Linked DNA regions of Sus scrofa. The protein of the gene in region 2 interacts with the protein of the main gene of each other region in a pairwise test. Links are inferred from orthologs where the notes say so. Each region holds a gene or a part of one and is shown on either strand. Other genes may lie near its edges.

Region 1 (4,238 bases), on a different chromosome or scaffold from region 2:
CATTCCAAAAGGGTCAGGCCCAAGAGAGGCCTGCAGAGTGCCAGGTGGAGGTGTCCAGAGACAGCCAGGATTCGTGGAGAAGTGGGAATGTCCTTAGGGTCAGCCAGCACCTTGTCCTAAGGAGCCTGTGGAAGACTGGTCAGCCCTTCTGGGGCTCCATTGCTGCTGGGGGCATGGAGCATTATGGGGGTGCAAAGCAACTGGGGCTCATCACCCCAGCCTTCCTCCACCATCTGACACTCAGGTACCCGGCCCCCACCCCCAGAGCGCCTCTCCGGTGCGCTTTTTTTCCCGGCCTGATGCATTCTCCTCTATAAATACCAGCTCTGGTATTTCGGGTTGGCAGCTGTTGCTGCCAGGGAGATGGCTGGGTTGACATGAGGCTCCTGACAAAACACAAACCCCTCGGTGGGTGCGGGTGTGGGTGGTGTGAGGAGGGGCATGAATCAGAGGCGGGAGGTGGGCTCGAGGGGAGGAAGCCAGGCAAAGTTAGTGGCATGGGGGTGAGAGTATACAGTTATAATTGTCATCATTGGAAACTGAGAGCCTTCTAGCCCCTTTCTGGAAATCACTGTTGTTTATAAGCTTGAGGCCCAAGCCCAGAGGGAAACTGAGGCTGGAAGGAAGCTGGCACCCCAGTGCTAGCAGACATAACCCAGCAGGCAGGTCTGGCTCCCATTGCTCCTTGTCCCCGGGAAGCCCTCCCAGCCTTTCCACCTGTCCAGAGACCCTCCTCCTCTCAGCCTGGCTTCTGGACTCCTGGTCTTTGCCTGAGCCCTCCTAAGTGCTTGCCACATTCAGAGAATCTTGAGAAAAAACGGGTGATTTGGAGCCTTTCTTTAGAAACAGGCCTTGCTCGACATGACCCAAAATCTCTCCTGGGAGCAAAAACGAGTCCCTGTAAGTAAACATTAGCCTCTCCCCGATCACCCCCAGGAGGAAGCCGGCACCCCAAAGGCTGAGAGGGGGCCCCCCTTGGGGTGCCAGACGTGCTTGAGCCCTGGCCAAGCGCTTGGCTGGCCTGCCCATCTTCTGCCCTTCTAGGTCCATCGTTCTCTCCCACACCCTTCAGGGGCCCCCCTACCCGCCGGCCGAGGGGGCACAGGCCTCTTGCGGGGGAGCTGGCCTCCCCGCCCCCACGCCAGAGGCCGCCCTTTCCTGGCAGGACAGCGGGATCCTGCAGCTGTCAGGGGAGGGGCGGCGGGGGCTGATGTCAGGAGGGATACAAATAGTGCCGTCGGCTGGGGGCCCTGTCTCCCCTCGCCGCATCTACTCTCCAGCCGGCCGCCCGCCGCCGCCGCCGCCTCCTCCTCCGCGCCGCCCAGCCAAGCCCGCGCCGCCACCATGAGCCAGGCCTACTCGTCCAGCCAGCGCGTGTCCTCTTACCGCCGCACCTTCGGCGGGGCCCCGAGCTTCCCGCTCGGCTCGCCGCTGAGCTCGCCCGTGTTCCCGCGCGCGGGCTTCGGCACCAAGGGCTCCTCGAGCTCGGTGACCTCCCGAGTGTACCAGGTGTCGCGCACGTCGGGCGGGGCCGGGGGCCTGGGGCCGCTGCGGGCCAGCCGGCTGGGGGCCACCCGCGTGCCCTCCTCATCCTACGGCGCGGGCGAGCTGCTGGACTTCTCGCTGGCAGACGCCGTCAACCAGGAGTTCCTGACCACGCGCACCAACGAGAAAGTGGAGTTGCAGGAGCTCAATGATCGCTTTGCCAACTACATCGAGAAGGTGCGCTTCCTGGAGCAGCAGAACGCGGCGCTCGCCGCCGAGGTGAACCGGCTCAAGGGCCGCGAGCCGACCCGGGTGGCCGAGATCTACGAGGAGGAGCTGCGCGAGCTGCGGCGCCAGGTGGAGGTGCTCACCAACCAGCGCGCCCGCGTCGACGTCGAGCGGGACAACCTGCTGGACGACCTGCAGCGGCTCAAGGCCAAGTGAGGACCCGAAACCCCCTCTCCATGGGCTGGGGCGTGGGAGGCTAGGCCTAGGACTGGATCCAGTTGTCAGCACCCAGGGAGAGGAGGGTTGTTGCTGTGTTCCCCGAAGGGGAGGGACGCCTGGCCTTTCCCTTTGCTCGCAGTCTGCAGAGGAGGAATCTTCTTGCAGACATCATGAGGAGGAAAGGCGAGACCTGGGAGGACCAGGTGCCTTTTAAAAAGCATCTTAAGATGCTGGGGTGATGTTGCTGGGAGTCAGGTATGTAGGTGGAGAGAGGAGGCCCAAGTGCAGTCAGAGAGAGACTCTCAGCCCATCTGTGATGAGGCCCTGGGGCTGGGGGTGGAGAGGGGATCTTGGCCCCTGGGCCTGGCTGAGGCTGTACAGGGGGACCGGATAAGCTAGAGGAAGGGGGAGAGTGCCTGGGGGGTGCAGCTCTCAGCAAGCTTGGGAGGACTAAATGGTGGGCTCCACCAGGCTCCCAGTACATAAAGGCAGCAAGTATAGAGCAAGGACTCATGGGTCCTGCTTTTGGTGGCCCAAGAGAACAGAGTCCCTGTCCTTCCACCCAGGTCACAAATGTTAAGTGAGCACCTACATGGGTCAGGCTGGGGCTGGGGCCTGGGAACACAGAGGTGGATAAAATAGACACAGTTCTTAATCCCAGGGAGGTCACAGTCTGGTGGGGACAGAGGCTTCCAGGGTGTGGCTCCAAGGCAGCGATTGGGCCACTTCCTGTCCCCTCCCTGTGTGGGCAGGGCCTCCTGCCTCTACCCAGCAGCCATGCCTCCTCTGTGCTAAGCCCATTCTCTGGGCAGCCCCCAGACAGTCTTCTTCATTGCCACTTTTGTCCCTACCGTCTGTCCTTCTGTCTGTCTCGGCCAGGCTGCAAGAGGAAATTCAGCTGAAAGAAGAAGCCGAGAACAATTTGGCTGCCTTCCGAGCGGTGAGTCCTCTTTGGTCCCCCAGAAGCCTTGCTCCTTCTGTCCCCTGCTGCATGGGCTGTAGTCTCTCTCTGCCTTGCCAGGCTGATCAGTGACCCTGTCCCTCCCACCTGACCCCTTCCAGGATGTGGATGCAGCCACTCTAGCTCGAATTGACCTGGAGCGCAGGATCGAATCTCTCAACGAGGAAATCGCGTTCCTTAAGAAAGTACACGAAGAGGTACGCCCTGGTGAAAGCAGGTGGAAATGATGGGACCGGTGCTGGGCTCTGGGAATCGGGGTGTGAGGGTACGTTTGGGGCTTGGCCGGGGACTGAAGCCCGGCCGTACCCTGCAGGAGATCCGAGAACTGCAGGCCCAGCTTCAGGAACAACAGGTCCAGGTGGAGATGGACATGTCCAAGCCAGACCTCACCGCCGCCCTCAGGGACATCCGGGCTCAGTACGAGACCATCGCGGCTAAGAACATCTCAGAAGCCGAAGAGTGGTACAAGTCAAAGGTGGGACTCTGGCCCCTCCGTGCCCCTCCATCCCAGTTTGGAGGTGCTTCCTGTGGCTCCATCTATGGGTAGGAGGGTGAGCCTGGGGTCTCTATGTTCCCTTGCTCACCCCTACCTGTGTCCTGCATCCTCCCTGTCATCTCAGGACCCCTCTCTCTGCCCTTAGGTGTCCGACCTGACCCAGGCAGCCAATAAGAACAATGATGCACTGCGCCAGGCCAAGCAGGAGATGATGGAGTATCGCCATCAGATCCAGTCCTACACCTGCGAGATCGATGCCCTCAAGGGCACTGTGAGTCCTTGGTCACCTCACCTGGCCCAGCCCGCACCCTCACTTTGTGACCTCAGGCCCATCACATCCCCTCTCTGGGCCTCTCTCTCCTCAGATCTGTCACAGGGGTGAAAACAGACAGGTGGATGTCTGGAGGGGCTCCTGCATGGCCAGGAGAGGGGGGGTGTGAACAGCCGTGCTCCTTTTTATCAGTTCTGTTCTCTGAGTTTCTACATAAGTCTTCTTTTGAGTTCAGAGTTCCCTGGCTCAGAAGAGTGACAAGCCCTAGATGTGGCCACCATCTGGGGTTGCCTCCCAGCCCCAAGCTGGAAATTTCCCCATCCTGGGCCCGAGTGTCCCCTCTGGCCACAACCACAGCCTGTCCTTGACCCTGGGCACCCCTCCCCTGCAGAACGATTCCCTGATGAGGCAGATGCGGGAGCTGGAGGACCGCTTTGCTAGTGAGGCCAGCGGCTACCAGGACAACATCGCACGCCTGGAGGAGGAGATCCGACACCTCAAGGATGAGATGGCCCGCCACCTGCGCGAGTACCAGGACCTGCTCAATGTCAAGATGGCCCTGGATGTGGAGATTGCCA
Region 2 (3,645 bases):
AACCTTTTAATTAAAAAACCCCCAATATTTGGAATTTTATTCTCCTTCATTTGAACTCTATTTTTATACTAATAGCATGTTTAAAGTGTTATTAAATAGTCTTTATCCATTCTGCCAATATCTGCTATTTACATTTAACATAATTATTTATAGTTGCCATTTTGCAATTTATTTTCTGTACCTTCTTTTTTTGTTATTCCTCAATTCCTCCACTAACACTCTTGTTTGTGTTAAATAGATATATTCTAGTGCCCTTTAACTTCTCTTATTATTTCTTTTACTGTGTATTTTTGAGTTATTTCTTAGTGGTGATTGCCCTGGGGATTATAAATAACATCTTAATTTATGACAATCTAGTTCTGATTAGTACCAACTTTATTTCAATAGTATGCAAAACATTTACTCCCATACGGTTTTGTTACACACTCTCTTTATGCTGTTATTGTCATAAATTATATCATTATGGGAGTTCCCGTCGTGGCGCAGTGGTTGACGAATCCGACTAGGAACCATGAGGTTGCGGGTTCGGTCCCTGCCCTTGCTCAGTGGGTTAAGGATCCGGCGTTGCCCTGAGCTGTGGTGTAGGTTGCAGACGCGGCTCGGATCCTGCGTTGCTGTGGCTCTGGTGTAGGCCAGGGGCTACAGCTCCGATTAGACCCCTAGCCTGGGAACCTCCATATGCCACGGAAGTGGCCCAAAGAAATAGCAAAAAGACAAAAAAAAAAAAAAATTAAATAAATAAATAAATAAATAAATAATATCATTATACATTGCATACCCATCCACACAAAAATATAATTATTACTTAATGTGTTGGTCTTTTAAATTAGATAAGAAAAAAAGAGAAATTACATACAAAAAGTTACATTAATACTGTCTTTTATATTTATATATATAGTTACCCTTTAACAGTATTCTTTATTCCCTCATGTGGATTTGAGTTACTGCTTAGTGTCTTTTCATCCTGAAGAACTTCTTGCAGAGCAGATGTACTAGCAGCAAATTCAGTTTTTATTTATCTGAGAATGTCTTAATTTACCTTCATTTTCAAAGACTAGTTTTTTCTGGATATAAAATTCGTGGTCGACAGTATTTTTCTTCCAGTACTTTGAACATGTCATCCCACTGCCTTCTTGCCTCCATGGTTTCTGATGAGAGATTTGCTGTTACTCTTATTGGAACTATTTCTTAAAAATACCACTTAAAATAGTTGCATAATTTTTTATCTTTATATGTTTACCATAATTTATTTAACCATTTCCCAGTGTTGTTTTAATTTTTATAAAACACAAATAAAAACACATATCCTAAGTGTTCCTTGTTCTGTGTTCCTCATACCATAACCTTCTGCATACTGAATGCAGATCTAAGTTACAAGCAATCATAATAAATCATAAGGGGAAAGAAAGGGGTAGCCAGTGATGGGAAAAATGGTGATTGACTGCTAGGGGAGCATCGTATGAGAGAAGCACAAACGTTCCAGGTATTTTGGAGCTATTGGCATCACAATTTGTGCAGATGGCAGTCTGTATTTAAGTACCCTCCTTCTCCTATCTTTATACCTGGGCAATGACTAACACACCTTTGGCCACTTTTAAGGCTAGGAGAGACATATGATGAAGGACTCAAGCTCATCCTCTTACCTAGACTGAGGTTACTGCCTGAGTTCCTCCCTCCTTTCTTTCTTTCTCTTTCTTTCTTTTCTTTCTTCCTCCCTTCCTCTCTTTCTTTCTTTTTCTTTCTTCCTTTTGTAATAGCTTTATTGAGATACAATTCACATACCATATAATTCCCTTATTTAAGGTATATAATTCAATGGTGTATTAGAATACTTACAGAGTTATACAATCATTATCACAGCTGATTTTAGGATATATCATCACCCCCAAAAGAAACTTCACACCCTTTAGGAGTAACCCACCATTTCCCTCTCCTCAAATCCTAGCAATTACTAATCTACTTCTGTCTCTATGGATTTGCCTATTCTATACATTTCATGTAAATAGAATAGAAAAGGCAATATATTGCCTTTTGTGTCTGGCTCTTTCACTTAGCATAATATTTTCAGGGTTCACTTGTGTTATAGCATGTCATCAGTATTTCATTCCTTTCCATGGCTGAATAATATTTTCTTGTATGGATACACTATTTTCTTTATCCATGCATTACTTGATGGACATTTGGATTGTTTCTCCTTTCTTGGATTTGTTAATAATGATGCTATGAAATTTGTGAACAAAGGTTTTTTTTTTTTGTGGTAGATATTTTCATTTCTCTTGGGTAAATATTCAGGGGTAGGACTGCTGTGTCATATGGTAACTCTATGAAAAATTGAAAAATTGAGAGATTGTTTTCCAAAGTGACTGCACTACATTACATCCCCACCAGCAATGTATGAGGGTTTTGTATTCTCCACATTCTCTCTCAAACTTGTTATTGTCTGTCTTTTTTATTATAGCCATCCTGGTGGGTGTGAAGTACTATCTTGTAGTTTTGATTTGCATTTTCCTGATAGCTAATGATATTGATCAGCCTTTCATGTGTTTACTGGCCATTTGTTTCTTTTTGGAGAAATGTCTATTCAGATCCTTTGTCCATTTTTATTTGGGTCACTTGTCTTTTTGTTATTAAGTTACAAAATTTCTTTATGTATTCCAGATATGTGGTTAGCAAATATTTTCTCCCATTCTATAGGATGTTCTTTTAATTGCTTGGCTCTTTCAGGGCTCCGTAAAGCTTAGCCATTTCATAATAGAGTCAGAAATATTATGTAAGAAACTATGGATGTGTTTCAACATGAAGGCCTAGGTAGGGACAGAACAGCTCTATTTATGCTATTAAAGAGAGGGTGTGCACTAATTTGCTCTGCAGAAATTCTTGTTGGATTATATGAAACAATGTTTTTGAGGGTGTGGGAACCCCAGGGGAATGCTTGCCTTTACTCTGAACATATCATCTCATTCCAATGACCTTTATGCTTCAATCTTTGATAGGCTCAAGTTGGCTTTCCAGAAGTCACACTTGGAATCCTTCCTGGTGCAAGAGGAACCCAGCTTCTCCCCAGACTTATTGGAGTTCCTGCTGCACTTGACTTAATTACCTCAGGTCAGTACAAACCCAACCAATGGCTGTTTAGATCAATGTGAGGAACTGGCCTAACATTTAGAAAAATCCTGGCTTGACCATTCCATACCCATGTAATCTTAAGAGGATACTTTAAGTTCTTTGATATCAATTTTCTTATCTGTAAAACTGAAAGACTACCTTCTCTGAGAGCTTTTCAAAAGTTACCATAAAGAAAAAATGAGTGCTCTCTAAAACAAAGTGTATACAAAGCTGTAATCACAGTTAAATGTCTACTCATAGACACTCATGTTCACATAGGGTACATTATACTCAGATATAATTCAGAAATTGTAATATAAACAAGAATTAAAATCAGAATTTCCAAGGAAAGTTTTCAAGTTTTAGTTTGGAAATGACTGAATTTTTCACTTCCTTGGTATTAAGACATTGGCTTCAATAGGGAATGTGAATAGTGTAACACTAGAAAACATTTAGAGACCTTGGATTTATCAGATATGATACAAATTAATTTATATCCACTCATGCAACAACTGTTTAATTTTTTCTCATGTGCTGGGC

Evidence for each region. The genes of interacting proteins can lie anywhere in the genome.
Region 1: the proteins of EHHADH (region 2) and DES interact in binary tests that used the Homo sapiens proteins (3 or more experiments, as listed by UniProt). The two-hybrid records come from large-scale screens. The link is inferred for Sus scrofa from reciprocal best matches to the Homo sapiens genes EHHADH and DES.

What each region holds. Positions count from the first base shown.
Region 1 is NC_010457.5:121,427,299-121,431,536, forward strand, and holds the start of DES (desmin), read left to right. Parts: upstream 1-1,303; 5' UTR 1,304-1,344; coding exon 1,345-1,925; intron 1,926-2,811; coding exon 2,812-2,872; intron 2,873-2,994; coding exon 2,995-3,090; intron 3,091-3,206; coding exon 3,207-3,368; intron 3,369-3,534; coding exon 3,535-3,660; intron 3,661-4,051; coding exon 4,052-4,238. UniProt on the Homo sapiens protein: Muscle-specific type III intermediate filament essential for proper muscular structure and function.
Region 2 is NC_010455.5:123,148,488-123,152,132, reverse strand, and holds part of EHHADH (peroxisomal bifunctional enzyme), read left to right. Parts: intron 1-2,993; coding exon 2,994-3,105; intron 3,106-3,645. UniProt on the Homo sapiens protein: Peroxisomal trifunctional enzyme possessing 2-enoyl-CoA hydratase, 3-hydroxyacyl-CoA dehydrogenase, and delta 3, delta 2-enoyl-CoA isomerase activities. Catalyzes two of the four reactions of the long chain fatty acids peroxisomal beta-oxidation pathway.